Linked DNA regions of Neurospora crassa OR74A. The protein of the gene in region 3 interacts with the protein of the main gene of each other region in a pairwise test. Links are inferred from orthologs where the notes say so. Each region holds a gene or a part of one and is shown on either strand. Other genes may lie near its edges. The genes, in order: NCU08956, NCU00919 and NCU04610.

Region 1 (5,310 bases), about 4.3 Mb from region 3:
TTGTCGACCGCAGCACAAGCACAAAGAGAGAGAAGGACCTGAATGATGTGCAAAGTCAACGTTTCCTATTACCTGATCGTGGAAGAAATATCCGCGAATGAAGTTATAAGCTCTAGAATTTCTGACAATTGGTCCTCTCTCTTTATTCACAATACGGTTGCCCCTCCCGATGTCATGAAACAACCTTGATGAGAACAGTTGTTTTTAGCTAACCACAAGCCTCGTTTGCTCATCAAGGTACCTACCTCGAAGAACCGCCCAAAATACCTACTAGCTACCAACCCATCAGTTAAGTCGCCCTTTCCTTTTTCCCTTCTTCTTTCCATGTCATTTACATATCGTACACAGAAACTACAAATATACCAGCTATCTCAAAGTGGCACTCATCATCAAAAGTATCTGCTTCATCAAGGGAACAGAGCTGAAAAGAGATGAAACCTTAACTCCAAGCTACAAGGCTGATACTGTGTGCGGTCGGTCCCTGACGGCTGATCCCGCCACTACTAGTGTAGATTCCTCGATACAAACCCATTGTCCCAACTACGACATCTTCTTTACTGCAGTACCTATTCTCTACTAGGTGATGACGAAATGTGCCTGACTGATTGACTGACTTCCCGTCTCCCCTCGTAATCTAATCATTGGGTGGCGCTGTAAGGCGCTGGTGTCGGGCTCTTTGTCTGGAGGTCGTTAGGTATCAACCATACATTGATGATGACTGACAATAGGTTTGTGTAACTATAAGCGGAAACTGGCTGAAGTGATTGTGAAGAAAAGAGGCAATAGACTAGCTGACCATGTAGAGGCAAATACACTCAGATTAGAGAATAAACCGAAGATTTGACTAGATAGCTTTCTGAACCTCTGTCATAGCTGAATGAAATAATAACAAGTGGATGAAAGGATCTGGATAGATGAGGACTGTATTCAGAGAATTCCGGATACCGATAAACATGTCTGCACTCATTCACTGGCCTACGAACGTGGATATCCTTGCATATTATCAGGTATTGGTATTTCCATCCTACAGTCCTACAGTCCTACTGGCCTCCTAGCATAGCATAGCATAGCCTAGCCTAGCCTAACATAGCATAGCATAGCATAGCCCGCTCGTTGTACCCGGAGCAATTTGCAGAACCGGTTGTAATGAACACACAACAAAGAGATCCGCATCAGCTCGTCCACCTCACCTCACCTCACCTCACCTCCTCCCCTACGAGCAAGACAAAACCGAACCCCGAACCACGCGTGTTTGTTTCTCTTGTCTTCTTCCTCTTCCTGCGCTGCCTACTTCAGATCCCTAGAATACACCCCTGGGCCTGCCACTCTATCCACCACCCCCCAACGACAAAGGGAATAAAGACAAAGTTTTTAGTAGTGAGTGAAACGATATATGAAAACCGAGAAACGAAAAAAGAAAAAGACAGGAAAGGATTACGTTGTTGTATTGTGTGTGAAACCCTGGGCGTACTGGAGGAGCAGCAGCCTTCGCGATGACAAGAAAAAAATGGAACCGGGTGTTTCGTTGCAGCACTAGAAGAAGATATAGGCCAGCAGGAAGCTGACCAAGCAGAGGACCGCCGCAATCTGGACTGGCACGCCCTCGGTGCCTTGCCTCGCTGATTGCGCGAGGTCCTGAGCGGTCGCCTGTACGTTCGACGCCTGCTCGCCCACCGCGTCAGCCACAGCCGCCTTCCTCTGTCTCAGACCGCTGGCGGCGTCGTTCTGGAGAGATGCGATGGTCGCCTGAGCCTTGGCCAACTGTTCCTTCAACTGCTCGTACGTCTCGGAAGCGGTATGCTGTGCTGTCGATGCGACGGCCGCAACAGTCGACTGGAAGTTCTCGCCGACGTCGGACTCTTGTTTAATATCGCGGGTGTCGACCGTCGAAGATCGGGTCTCGCTGGGCGATGTGAAAGGAGCAGGGGTCTCCTCGGCCTGCGCATGTGAAAGTTAATTTTATTTCCTTGATGGTACGCTGCCAGGGGTATGTAGGCGAAAGGTACACGTACCCGGCTCGACGTCGAGGGACGGATAGGGGTGGCAGCCACGGGGGAGGTGGTCTCCTCTCCAAAGGGTGGCAGCCAGAGAACGCGGATCTTCTTCTCCTGAACCTGGGACTTGTCGACACCATCCCACTGTATGATGTATTTGTCAGCACTCATTTTCATTTTCGTCCTCCTCTGTTTGAGTTATACGCACAATCTGGGCAACGTTGGTGAACTCCTTGTCACCGGTGATGGCAACAGACTGGACGAGGAACTTGTCGCGGCATCGGGCGTCCGAGGGGGGCTCCTGCTTCATGGCCTGGAGGAGGACTGAAAGGGAAGTTAGTCACGAGACCGTAAGTTTGGACATGGTGTCGGCGATTCGAGGACTGACCGGAAACTTCGACATCGTGACCGGGCTCAATGCGACCCGAGTTGGGGCGGACGCAGTATCTGAAGAGGGAGTTGGTAAGTGTCTGTATATCCTTGGACCGGTGATTCGTTTGCGCTGCGGCGCATTGCCGAGGAAGGGACGTAGACGTACTGCTTGGGAGCGGTGGTTTTGACCTGTACGAGAGCATGTTAACACATATGTCGAGTGACACTCAACCACGACAATAACGCGTGTTGATGTCCACACATACCTTGAAGGCAACCGGAGAGGTATTGGGATTCCTGATCCTGAGGATCTGCGAAACTTCCACAGTAAAGGGCCCTAATTTCTGGTCAGACGATGGGAGATCCTAGAGGGAATCTGGGCCGATGGTGCTGTTTGCGAAGGGACGACGTACTGCGGAAACCCAGCTCGAGGGGATCGATTTCGACGGACATGTTGGCGATCGGTTGGGCTCTACGTGGTTTGGTGGTTTTGGGAAAATCTAGAGCGACTTGGATTTCGCGATGGGATGACGGGAAATGTTGCCGGGGGATTATTGGCCGTCCCTAGTATACCCGGTGGGGGGGAAATAAAGGGATGGGGGATGGAGTTTGACGTATTAGACAGGTTCGCGAAATATGCCAGACAAGGGCAATGTGAATCTGATTTATCGGGCCAGACAGCGAGACCGCGGAGAGTTCAGTAGTCGTCGTCACAAGAAAATGTTAGGTAGCAGCCCGAAGTGAAAAATGGATAGATGTTGTGAGGTGTGGTAAAATACAAGAAGAAGAAGAAGCTGGAACCTGGAGTGATAATATTACGAAGACGAGAGAGAGGGAGATGATGTGTTACGACATTCAACAGTGACGGCGGTCCGACGCGCGCTGGACAGACCAACCTGGACACAACTAAGCCAGCAGTACTTAGTGTACCTACCTACCTACCTAGCCTAGGTAGGTGTTTCCAGGAGGGCGCCAGCCAGGCGACGAGACTGCAAAAATGCCCGGATTCAAGCCAAGACCCAACCGAGCCAAGAGCACCTCAGAGGTACCTAGGTATCTGGGTCCGTGCTGATCTCATACCTGACTGGACCCCAACCCCAGAGGAATGAACCTTTCAGTGAGAATCTCAAAAGCTCCCAGCTCTTTCCCGACCCGAATGCTATGTCCACCCGCTGCCTGGCCGGGCGAGCCTGCCGTTGGATACCTCTAGGTAGACGAGGAGACGAGGCCCGTATGGTAGGTTGTCGCGTGGGGTCCACGTATCTCCACTGAAATTAAGGGTCACAGTCGGAGAAACAGGTGATGCCGACTGTCATTTGGCTACAAATTGGGCAATTGTCAGTTTGTCACTGGCCATTTCCAGCTGCCGGCAACGCTGGCACCACTGTCAAAGCAACCCAGGGCACCCAACGGACAAGGGTGTTGTGTTGTTTGTGAATGACGTGCCCCGGGCAGCCTGGCCATATCGCGAAGCGTTCACTTTATCGATGATGACGACGGCGACGACAATAACAATAACAACAACAACATTCACGTGGGCAGTCTGAATTTCTGTTGGAAACGTAAGACGATATTCCAAAGTTGGGTTCCAAAAGAAGGCCAAAGTGTTCGTCTGTTGAAACCTGGCAGCGTTTTAGTGCAGGGAATCGCTACTACGTACCCGTCCGTCTGCTTCTATCCGAACTGTTGACAGCTTCGCATCTTTTGATTGAACCCCTCCTTATGGTAGTGGACTTGACTGCACCAATTCCGAGTTGCCACTATTTCATCCCCAGCAACAACCTACTATAACAATCAAGACCAGTCCCGTCCACTCCATTTAAACACCTAATCTATAGTAGCGACCATATCTTTCTCATCAACCAACCAAATCAAGAATCATCAAAATGGGCCAAACAGATCTCGAGGTTCTGATCGACATGGGTTTCGAGCGCGCCCGCGCCGAGCTCGCCGTCAAGAAGTCCGGTGGCTGTCAGTCCTCCCGAACGCTTACATTTGTGACGCGAATGTGATATTGACAACTAGCAGTGCAAGGAGCCCTCACCTGGCTTGAGGAGAACCAGGACAAGTCCTTGGAGGAGCTACAGGCCAGCGCTGCCTCTGCCGCCACTGCCAAGGCCGACGACGACGAAGAGGATGATGGCTCCCCCATTCCCGAGGGCGCCAAGTCCCTTGTTTGCAACGATTGCGGCAAGAGGTTCAAGAACGGAGATCTTGCCGCCTTCCATGCTTCCAAGACGTCAGTCTCTTTACCAATGTATCCGTGTTTGTGGCACCAAGCTAACTCTACCATAGTCAGCACACCGACTTCTCCGAATCTACCGAAGAAATTGCTCCTCTAACGGAGGAAGAGAAGAAGCAAAGGCTGGAGGAGCTCCGCCAAAAGCTCGCGGAGAAGCGGGAGAGGCAGGCACTTGTTGACAAGGAGGAGCAGAAGCGCAATGAGGTACGATGTCAGAATGTCCCCAGCCGCATTCCAAGCATGCTAACAAATATGTATAGCAAATCAAGCGCAAGGCTACCAAGGAATCACAAGACATGAAGGAGGAGCTGGCGCGTAAAGAGCAAATGAAGGAGGCTGCCCGCAAGCGTCAAGAGAAGCTCGACGACATCGAGGCCAAGAAACGCATCAAGGCCAAGATCGAAGCCGACAAGGCCGAGAGGAGGCGCAAGGAGGAGGAAGCAAAGGCGCTTCGCGAGGGTAGAGCTCCGGCCGCTCCCTCAACCGCGCCTGCTGCCGCCGCCGCTGCGCCGGCTGCTTCGAAGCCGGCTGCCTCCCACAATGAGGCTCGTCTGAGGTTGCAAACTGCCAAGGGAAATGTTATGAAGACACTGGCTGCGGATGCCACGCTGTTTGAGCTTGCTCAGCAGTTGGAGTCGGAGAACGGAGTCCCGGTTGCGAGCTTCTCTACGACGTTCCCCCGGAAGACGTGGCAAGCCGGAG
Region 2 (5,319 bases), on a different chromosome or scaffold from region 3:
TCTATTTACTACGAGGTATCAATCCCTCCTCCTCGTTCGGCGGCGGCAGCATCATCTAATAATAACCCCTTTCTGGGCGGCCGCGGTGGAGGAGGAGGAGGAGGAGGAGGAGGAGGAGGTAACGACGACGAAATCACCCTAGCGCTAGGCTTCACAGCCCTTCCCTACCCGGCCTTCCGCATGCCAGGCTGGCACCGCGGGTCGCTGGCCGTGCATGGCGATGATGGGCACAAGTACGTCAACGATCGGTGGGGAGGCAAGGATTTTACGAGACCGTTCAGAAGGGGGGAGACGTACGGTATCGGCATGACGTTTACTAACACCGGCGGAAGGCTGGATGTGAATGTCTTTTTCACGAGGGAAGGGAGGATCACGGAGCAGTGGGATTTGCATGAGGAAGGTGATGCGGAGCAGGACTTGCCCGTCACGGGCTTGGAGGGGTTTCATGATTTGAGTTGTGCTATCGGAACGTATTCGGCTGTCGAATTCGAGGCTGTCTTTGAGCCGAGTAGGTGGAAGTTCAGGCCGCAGGGCTTGTGAGTGGCTCTGGGGAAAGTTTGACCTGAGAGATGCGAGTTGGAGAGAGAGAGAATGGGCACTGCGGTGATATGATGTTATGATATTTTGAAGGGTCAGGGTTTTCTTCTACTCCGTCGCTGTCTGTGTTTGTTTTCCCCTCATGCTGGTATCACTCGGAATCAAGATACGCGACACTCATTCCTAGGACAAGTTGAACAAAATGTAAACTCACAGAAAATCATTCTTTTGTCTAAGTACCAGCATATACACGGTAGGGGTATCTATCCTTTTAATAATCCGCCCGTCAACACAATGACAATATTATCTGCATGAACGCCCCAACGGCTACGCCCAGCTTTTTAATCCAAGCCGGTCCACTCCTCTTCCGCCTTCTCAGGGGCAGCACCGCCCTCCTTCTGCGCCTTCTGCGCCTCCCTCTTTCTCCTCTTGCTAGCCTCAATAGCCTCCCGCCTGTTATTCTCCCTCCGCCTCTCCCAACTGCTCTTAGTCGTGATCGTCGCCTTTCCGCCTGTCCGCCTGCTCTCCACCCCCCTGACCTTCAACTTCCTCTTATCCTCCTTGGCCACCTTGGGCAGCGCATCCAGCAGCCACTTTTGCACGCTACCCTGGGCGGCCTTGACGGTATCTTTCTCGTCGATGTCCTTGCCCGCCTGCTTCTCGCTCATGGCGATCACGTTGGCGACCGACTTGACAAAGGGGATATCGTCCTTGGTGTAAAAGGTGACGGCCACACCGCCCTCGCGACCGGCGCGACCCGTGCGTCCGGCACGGTGCACGTACGCCGCGGCGGACACGGGCACGTCGTAATTGACGACGCCGTTGACGCCAGCAAAGTCGACGCCGCGCGCGAGCACGTCCGTGGTGATCAGCACCCACACCTCGCCGCTGCGGAAGCGGGCCATGATCTTGGACCGGACCGAGTCAGGGAGCGACGAGTGCAGGACCGCCACGCGGGCCGAGCCGCCCGCCTCGAGCGGGATGTCGTACTTGAGCTCGTCGTGGAGCGCCTGGGCACGCTCGATAGTCTGGGTGAAGACGAGGAAGGGCGGGCGCAGCGGCGGGCCCGAGTCGGCCGAGGACACGGGGTGGAGAAGCTGGCGCAGGGCGAGCAGCTTGCCGGGCTCTGTGGCCGTGTAGATGAGCTTGTGCGTGATGTTGGGCACGGCGGTGTCTTTGAGACCAACGACGAGGCGGATCAGGGGCTTGGGAGTCTGTTCGGGGGTGCGCTTGGCGCGCTTGTCGATGTGTTTGGTGAGGAGAGCTTCGATGTTGGAGGCCATGGTGGCCGACCAGCACGTCATGCCGAGGTTGGGGTGGGTGCAGGCACGCCAGATACCCATGGTTTGCTTGCGGAAGATGGGATCAAGGAGAACATCGGCCTCGTCAAGGATGAGGGATTGCACGGTGGGGAGCGTCTTCTTGATGATCCTGGGCTTGCCCTTCTCCTTTTCGCCTCCGCAGAGGAAGTTGAGGAGAATCTTGGGGGTTGTCACAAGAATGTCTACCCTGGTGATCGGCCTCTCCTTCTTGAACTTCTGATCACCTTTGGCCCTGCTCTCCGTTTTCTTCTCGGCGTCAGAATCGCTTTCCTCTTCTTCCTCTTCTTCTTCATCGATTTTCATAACCTCCTCGGGCTCGCTCTCTGCTTCGCTGTCGCTATCACTGTCTTGAACCTCTTCCTTGGCTTCCTGCTCCGTCTCCTCCTGCTCATTTGATTCTGCCACCAACCGCAGGGTCCTCTTCATGAGAACCACGCGCACGCCGGTTCCGATAGCCAACTTCCTTCCTTCATTGACAATTTGACTTGCCAGCTCTCTCGTAGGCGCAACCACGATGGCCTGCAGAACATGCTCGTCTGTTTCAGGGGTGTAATCCTCGGCCCTCCTTTTGATGATGGCATCGATAGCGGGAATCAAGAAGCTGATAGTCTTGCCACTGCCTGTCGGCGCAACACCGAGGAAGTCGATTCCCTTTTCAACCTTGACGTCTTCCACATCTGTGGCCTTCTCCAACGCCATCTCTGGCCGCAGCTGCAGTGGCAAGCTGCCCATCTGCACCTCAGTCGGCACCCGGAATCCCTGCCGCGTGATGTTGTCCGCCAACACGGGGTGAATGCCGTAAGTGTACTTGAGCTCGCCAAACGAGTTGAGCGGCTGCGGGTAGATTTGCTTTTTGTCTTCGTCTTTCTTCTTTTTCTTCTTTTCCTCCTCTTCCTGCTTCTTCCTGTCCTCCTTCTGCTTCTTCTGCTTCTTGGGCGGCTTCTCCTCCGTAGCCGCTTCGTCTTGTGGCACGCGACCGGCTAGGACTGTGAACTTTAACCGATGGGATTTGAGTATCTGTCGGCATTCGTTTTCTTCCAAAAGCTTGGGCTTTTGCTTCTTGGGCTCGTCCGCCTTCAACTCGGCATCCTTCTTGGCGGCAAGCTCCTCGGGGGTGGGCTTGGGCGCAAAGTAGTCGACGTCGCTGGCATCGTCGTCTTCGTCTCCGCTCTCGGTCGCATTGTTGGCCTGAGCCCCCTTCCTCTTTCTCTTCTTGCCTCTTTTGGCGTTGGCGCCGCCGACATTGTCGTGGAAGAATTGGGGATTGACTTTTGCTCCGGCGGAGGGAAGGAGCTGCGGTGCGCCTGGCTGGTTTTTCTTGGGCTGGGCTTTGATGCCTCGCGAGAGGACTTTGAAGATATCCATGCTGGAAGATTTGCCTTCGTAGGATGTGATGTCGCGGGGCTGAGTTAGATAATTGACAGAGAATACGAGCTGTACAAAGCTTTGTGATGGGTGAAATCAGGTAAATCTGGAGATGGGAGACAGAATGAACTGCTGGACTTTTACAAAACAAAAGAATTCTTGGAGTTTCCTTCCAATCGCCAGAATTGATCCATGAAAATTTTCCGCCCCGCAGCGGGCGCCAGTGCTTATCTTAGCGGCCTGGGTGGGGCTCCGCACCGCTGTACCCCAACTTTGGGCCGTCGAGGTTCCTTTTCACTGTGCGTTTACAACGCAGCTTGGGATGCAAAGGGAATGCTCCCCTAGGCTGAACAATGTGAACAGGATTGCCCGCGTTGGAGATGTGAAGAACAGGATATGTCATGAAGGGGGGAGGGGTATCCATTTTGTGTACGGGCTCGTCTACTCTAGTCTATCTTATCTGTCCTTGGTCGAACCTTTTAGTTTCTTTCATTGTACACCCTCGCCAACAACATCCTCGCACCGGACGCACAAGGAGTCCTCAGCAGGAGCAACGAATCGCCAGCACCTGGGGCATTTATGGTCTTTGGGAGGCAGAACCCACGCCTGGCAACCATGACCACCCATCTCGAAGTCTTGGACGTACTTCCAGGCAGGCTCCCCCTCTATGGCACCGCCGAGGTCTACAGAGGATACAACAAACATGGTATCTAGCTCGTCCTTGTACTTTTGCAGGACGGAAAGTGCCTTGCTGTCCTTGGGAGCCTTGATAACAACAGAGCAACCAAGGGACGAGCCAAGAACCTTGCCCCTGCGTGCCAGCTCGGACGCGGCTTTGATGGCGGCGTGAGTTTCCATTAGGACCGGGATGTCCTTACGAAGCACGCCTTCATCGTAGCTCAGACGGCTGGAATCAATCAAGGGCGAGTTATAGAGCTGATGAAGAGGATGAAGAATGGATGGGTCTTCCTTCATCCAAGCAGGTCGATGCTCCCAAGCCTCCTCGACCAGGACAGGTGTGATAGGGGCCAGCATTCTGAGGAAGCCCATAAAGATAGGCTCTAGGACACCACCGCCATCGGCGCAGTACAGCCTGTCCTTCAGGGCTTCGAGGTAAAAGGCAGACAGATCGTTGGCGATCCATCTGTTGAGACTGCTGAAAGCCTTGTTGAACTCGTAGTTTTGATAGTGTCTCTCAATTTCCACCATAGCATCCTTCAGCTGGACAAGAGCAATGTGGTCCAAGGCAGTCAGTGGAGCTGCTCTGGCTGACTGTTCCATCGAGCCCGTCAGCATCTTGATGATGGTGCGATACTTGGTTAGGGACTGATGGATAGTCTTCAGCACAGGCTCGCCGAGGACAATGTCACTGGTGTAATCACTGCTCGCTACCCACAAGCGCAAGGCGTCGGGGCCAAGGGCATCCTTCGGGGGAGGCGCATTCGGATCCCTGTCCTTGTTCCTGACCTTCAGCGGAGGAAGCAAAGAACCATCCATGACCTGGTCCGCCGAAATGATGTTGCCTAGTGACTTGGACATCTTCTTGCCGGCTTTATCTAGCGTGAAGCCATGAGTGATGAGTGTCTTGAATGGTGACAGGCCAACAGCATTGGTCGTACCATTAGCTGTCGGGCTTTGAACCGCCATAGCTGCTACTCGAGTGAGCAAACTCGACTGAAACCAACCGCGATGTTGATCAGAGCCTTCGAGATAGACATCCGCTTGCCTATCCGTCTGGGTCCAGCTGCTACCACTGTCAAACCAGACGTCCATGGTATCTCTACCACGGGTGAAGGGGCCCTTGCCCCGAAGAGATGCGGGAATCCAGACAGGGTCATGAGGGTCATCAGACCACCAAGCATCGGTACCTCTCTCCTGAATGACGGAGATAATGTGCTCGATGGTCTTTTCAGTCATTACTGCATCGCCATTGGCATCGTATAATGCAGGGATAGGTACACCCCATGCACGCTGTCGTGAGATGCACCACTCGCTCCGTCCCTTGACGAAGGCTTCGAGTCTGCTTCTCCCGCTTTCGGGAACGAATTTGACCTCCTCCAAAGCCTTCAGTGCCAACTCTTTGATGTTGTCCACA
Region 3 (5,273 bases):
TTTCTTCTTCATCATTCAATGTTTCTTAGTAGTACTGTAGTGATACTCAATATAAGGAGTGTAACGAAATTAGACACCAAGTATGACATGCTTCGCTCTCGCACGCTGGGCTGGCTTTTCAGTATACTAGACTAGACATTACCTCCTCACGACTCCATATCACTCACTCACTCACTCACTCACTCACTCACTCTCACCAAATCTCCCAGATTACCCCGAAAAGATATCCAGCACCCCCGTCCACTGCCCGCCACTCTTCGCCCTTTCCTCCCAATACCCCTCCTTCCCGCCCTTCAATTTCCACACCTCCTCGCCGTCCTGGCCCGTAGCCACCTTGACGAACCATTTCGGCTTATACTCCTCTCCTCTCTCTTCCATCTGCTTTCTACGCACTCTCTGCGCCTCCTCCAACTTGACCTTCCACTCCTCAGCAGAGTCCAGATCTCCTTGCTCGTGGAACCGCTGATCGGGACGCAACCTGCTATCCGTAGGCGGCAACTTGTCCTTCTCCAGGGGTGTGATTTCATTCAGCGACGCGGCAAAGGTCGTAAAGCCATACGTATTCGCCGCGTTGGGAACGAGGCTGCCCGCCTTCCAGATCTCCTTGCCTCCAGGGGCAGTCTTGAGACTGCTCGTCCAATTGCCCGTGAGCGCCTGGCCCGTGTTGGACCCGTCGGGACCAAACGTCTCGACGTGGACCTCTTCGCCTCGGCCACCGAACATGCCCTTAGCCGATCGAAACTCGACGACAGCCTTGGCGCCCGAAGTCTCGTTGTTAACGTTCATGTTGCCGACGGGCTCGACGTACTTCTCGCCGTAGACAACGTTGCGGAGGAAGACGGTGGCTATGTGCCAGCTGTAGAGCTCGTCGGTGCCGTCGGGGAGATGCAGGCTGACCCGCACACGGCCCTCGGTAGTGATTTCGGCACTCTTACCCCAGAACTTCTGCGAAGGAGCCGGCGACTGGGAGAAAGACCACAGAGCACTGTCGGCTTGTACGGCGAGGCGGACAGGGCGATGGCAGATTTTCTCGACCAGCACTCTAAACCCGCCAGGCACTTCGTTCTCGGACCGCACCAGTTCGAACGTCTCACCCAACAGAGGGTTGAAGGGCTTGCGCGTAGCACGCTCCTTGGCGCGACCGTTGCTGAACTGGGAGACAGCAAAGGCCGTAACATACAGAAGACGCTCGTTCGCGTCAGTCTTCTTGGCAGCCTCCGTGAGAAGCTGGCCGTATTCAAGCTGCTCCGCCATACGCTGGCACAGTGACAAAGGCTCGTTCGCAGAAACGGGCATACTGATCGTACTAAGATCTTTACCCACGTTTTTGCGGACGAACGCGATGAGACTGGGAGGAGGCACTTTGGCGGCCGGAATCGTCGTGCGTCTGGTGACCGTGTCCGTGATAGGCAGTGGCGCAAGAGACTTGGGCTTAACGGGGAACAGACTGTCATGGTTTTCTGTACCGACGCCTTCAAACTCCTCCTCTTCCTCGACAGAAGAGACGGATGAGGAGTCGTGGATATCGACCTCCTCCGCATCTGAGCCGGCCATGTCCTCTTCGCTCTGACGAATGATCATAACCTGGTTCTGTCCCGCGCCGCCCTGCTCACCAGCCTCGGCATCAAAGAACTCATCAATGGTAGACGCTGTAGACTCGTAACTCTTTCTGGAAGCCGCAGGCATCATGTTAGGCGGCATCATTTGCGAAGGGATTCTTCGGCGCTTATTCTTAGACAGCAGCTGCGAAAACTCAACCACCACAGAATCCAAATCATTCAGAAGAGCCGCGCAGTTATCGTATGGGTTCCGCTCCTCCGCAACGGCCGTCGCACTGGCTGGCGATGGCACCGCCAGAGCAGCTCCAGCCGTTGCCTGAACGCCTGGTTGCGCGCCCGGCGAAGCATTGCTGGTCTTGCGCTTCCAAAACGGCCTGCGCGACTCCGTCGAGGGAGTGAAGTAGGTCTCAGAGTCCTCCGCAATCGCTGGCGTGTTGGGTGAGAGCAACGAGGCCTGGCTAGCACCAGGCGCCTGTTTCTCGGCAGCCATATCCTTGACCAGGCGCCTGAGAGCATCTCTGGTTCCTGCAACCCTGCTGACCAAGGATTCGACCTGCGCCCATTCTCTTTCGTCCTCCTGCTGTGCGCTGGGAACGCTGGTGGAGGGCCGCGAAGCCGGCCTGTCAACACCAAGGGATGCGCCGTTGGGGAGGGTCTCCAGACCGCGAGCAATACGACTGGCCTTTTCCAAGGCCTTGGCCCAGTCGTTGAAGTCCTTTGGGCCAGACGCCTTCAAGTGCCAGATCTCGGCACCAGAATCAATGGTAATTTCGCGCCGTCTTTCGTCAGCGGCAATGGCGGCCAAGCTCAGGGGGATCGCTCCTCGCAGGGCAGACGAGTTGCGGTTGTGGTAGTAGGATAGCGTGCAAGTCGTAAAGTCGAGGGAGAAGAAGCGCCTAGCAAAACCTTGGCCCTTCTTGCGACGTCTCTTGAGAAGCACACCGACGTGGTAGGTTGCGCCCGGCACAAATCCGCCCTCACTTCTCGCATTCGAGGCAGCACGGCCACGCCCGGCCGTCTCATTGCTGGGTAGACTATCGACCGAGTCGGAATTGGCGGCGCCCAGCCGGGGAGTAGTACCTGCTCCCAAGCTCGTTCTGCTGGCGTTGGAGCCGGCCCCCGCTTGTACGGTAGGCAGATGGTGGGCAGTCTGGGGCGGGGCGCCGGTGGGGTAGGTAAGCAGAACAAACGTGGCCGTCTTGGACGTCTGCTTGGAGAAGGTGTTGTCGAAGACGAGACCGTACATGCCAGCACTGGTAACGTCGTAGGTGCCCACTGTAACCTTGTCGGCCTCGCATTTGCCGTGCCACTGGATTGGGATAAAGCCCTTCTTGGCAAGCTGATCTTGCGCTGTGCTGGCATCTCTCCTGAACAGGCCTGATTTCGCATCCGACACAGCGGCCTCGGTGGCTGGGTGTTCGGGGGTGGCCGTGGCCTCGAAGGTCTGGGAGCCGGCAGCTGTACCGCCAGATCCTGGGTGCTTGACGATGGCGAAGTTGCTGTAGTCGTGTTGGTCGCAACGTCAGCCAATGTCTATGAAGAGAGAGTTATGGGATTCGTAGGTATCCGTACATGGACTTCTTGTGTGGTTGAAGGCTCCATGATATCGTATGGCCTTCATCAACCTTGACCCATCGCACGATGTAAGACTAAGGGGGTAAAGAGCGGTTCGTCGGTCAGCAACTCCCGTTGACGAAGTCCATGAAAGCTTGGCTTGAACAGGTCAGGGCGCGTATACCTTGCTGTGAATCTCGAGCTGCTCGATGCCCGCCATGGTGAAAGACGATGATCGGGAGCTTGGGTGTCGTGCTATATATGACAGTAAGGGTGACTGGATGGATGGATGAATGAATGAATGAATGAAGGAATGCGGTAACCGAGGTCTGATCGTGGGGCCTGTCCGCCTCTTCAACAACAGCAGCAGCAGCAGCTACTCTGTCCGCGTTAACACAGAGTCGGAGACAAAGCTTCCGTGATCAATGGATGGGCTGGTGATGGAGGCGACCCATTAGAGGTAGTCAAAGCTCCAATACGGTCGGATGTTATGGTATAAGACTAGGGGTCTTGTTGATGTTGTCGACGACGTGAGTGCAATCGAAAGGAGGGAAAAAGCCGGGCGGTGGTGAACGGGGACCACTACAGCAATTAAACTGGCAACATCCGATGGAACAGGGCGGCGCAGAACGGTCACAGGCACCGATCAACCCACCGTAGCACCCAATGGCCAGCCGACAGGGGCGTTCCCGTCAATTCCACTTGTGTTCCCGTCAGACCGCCTGCCCGCCTGGCATTCCAGGGGGAAACAAAACAATGGAAACCTAAGGACCTACCCAACGCCAATTCAATCCCCACCGAACGGAGCTTCCATCCGTCCCGACATTCGGGCCCGGTCAGCGGACAATTGGTTAACCTCCGATCGCCCGCTTTCCTTCTTACTTACAGTACTGTGTTCACTACTTACTCCCTTCCTTTCCCCATGTCTCACCTCATTCAGTTGAAACAATAATACCCCGATCCAACCCACGTTTACATATGTATGTATCACACCGAGAGCCATCGCATGGCGTCGATGAATGGCATGGTCACCCCGACGACCTGCCATGCTACTGCCTAGCTGGAGGTTGCCTAGCGCTCAGCCTTATAGTACACCTTACATGATTCCGCGGGCTTCATTGGTCAGAAGGTCGTCGGCAACCTCGGCATGTGTGTTGTCATCCAGGATGTCGGTCTTTCAACTAGAATGGCATTTGCCGGTTTCTAGAATAGAACTTTATTAAACGGTTCGGTGTCTTGTTGGGACTTAACACCGAATCCGTCCAGTCGTGCCCCTTTTTCTTGGCGATGACAGTCTTGTTCATCTGTCCAACAAAGTGTCGCAAATGTTTGTCAATGAGCTGTAAACGAGCACCGGCACATCAAGTTGGATCATTGACCGTATTGTCCGATTAAATGCCATATGAACCTTTTTTGTAATTCTTCATTACTGCTCTTCAAGTCAAGTGCCTCTCCCCATTCCACCGTTGACTATCTTATATCGGCTTTTTGCAAGGTCTCATGATCCACGACCCAATCTGATGTGAATACCTAAAGTCTATCCCACCATAAATAAATGCGCTGCCTCTTCAAAGCCCCAGCGTCCACTGCGGTCCAATTCCCAAAAGACAGAGAAACAACGAAACCCGAAACCCTATAGCCAATCAAGCAAACACCCATCGGAACCCCACTGCGTCTGCAATGCCAGGACCTGTTCAAGTACTATCTGCCTCCTGACTGCTGCTTCAACATCTCACTCTGGTACCGAAGCTTGAAGCCGTTACAGAGGGCCCTAACATCTGGGTACTGGCTCTTCATAAGCTCAAACGCATGAGGGATGACGCGCACAGGCCAGGCATTGACTCGCGAGTTTCGGCTGGCCTTGAAGCAGAGGAAAAAGTAACCGGGGTGCTTGGTGTCGATGCAGAAGGCGTATGTCGACCGGTTGGGGTTGGCGTCCATGTACGTGGTGAGCCATTTCTCTGTTGGTCTTGGTTAGCATCATCTTGCATCATCATGAATAGCATCAGGGTAGGCGGCTGAACTTACCAGTCTCATTACGGGAGCCCTTCTGGAACTTGTCGCACTGCATGAGCTCGTCCACCTTCTTGGCCATGGCCTTGACGTGGTCCACGATCAACTCGTCCAGATCCTGGTACGTGTACTTGCCCACGCGGAGGA

What was found.
Region 1: the proteins of NCU04610 (region 3) and NCU08956 interact in a protein complementation assay, tested with the Saccharomyces cerevisiae proteins (2 studies listed by BioGRID). The link is inferred for Neurospora crassa OR74A from reciprocal best matches to the Saccharomyces cerevisiae genes OSH3 and SCS2.
Region 2: the proteins of NCU04610 (region 3) and NCU00919 interact in binary tests that used the Saccharomyces cerevisiae proteins (3 or more experiments, as listed by UniProt). The link is inferred for Neurospora crassa OR74A from reciprocal best matches to the Saccharomyces cerevisiae genes OSH3 and ROK1.

What each region holds. Positions count from the first base shown.
Region 1 is NC_026505.1:5,807,555-5,812,864, reverse strand, and holds NCU08956 (MSP domain-containing protein), read right to left. Parts: upstream 3,286-5,310; 5' UTR 2,820-3,285; coding exon 2,780-2,819; intron 2,704-2,779; coding exon 2,633-2,703; intron 2,556-2,632; coding exon 2,533-2,555; intron 2,442-2,532; coding exon 2,383-2,441; intron 2,319-2,382; coding exon 2,203-2,318; intron 2,139-2,202; coding exon 2,013-2,138; intron 1,939-2,012; coding exon 1,534-1,938; 3' UTR 983-1,533; downstream 1-982. Other genes in the region: NCU08955 (UBX domain-containing protein, variant), read left to right, coding at 4,253-4,337, 4,395-4,605, 4,662-4,812, 4,869-5,310. UniProt on the Saccharomyces cerevisiae protein: Acts as an endoplasmic reticulum (ER) membrane anchor for cytoplasmic proteins via binding to the FFAT motif of targeted proteins. Regulates phospholipid biosynthesis by modulating the subcellular localization of the transcriptional repressor OPI1.
Region 2 is NC_026501.1:6,733,756-6,739,074, reverse strand, and holds NCU00919 (ATP-dependent RNA helicase rok-1), read right to left. Parts: upstream 3,434-5,319; 5' UTR 3,225-3,433; coding exon 879-3,224; 3' UTR 602-878; downstream 1-601. Other genes in the region: NCU00918 (hypothetical protein), read left to right, coding at 1-540; NCU00920 (isoleucyl-tRNA synthetase), read right to left, coding at 3,714-5,319. UniProt on the Saccharomyces cerevisiae protein: ATP-dependent RNA helicase involved in 40S ribosomal subunit biogenesis. Required for the processing and cleavage of 35S pre-rRNA at sites A0, A1, and A2, leading to mature 18S rRNA.
Region 3 is NC_026505.1:1,510,619-1,515,891, reverse strand, and holds the start of NCU04610 (oxysterol binding protein), read right to left. Parts: upstream 3,675-5,273; 5' UTR 3,334-3,674; coding exon 3,298-3,333; intron 3,209-3,297; coding exon 3,132-3,208; intron 3,059-3,131; coding exon 211-3,058; 3' UTR 1-210. Other genes in the region: NCU04611 (transcription elongation factor spt-6), read right to left, coding at 4,815-5,074, 5,142-5,273. UniProt on the Saccharomyces cerevisiae protein: Lipid transport protein (LTP) involved in non-vesicular transfer of lipids between membranes.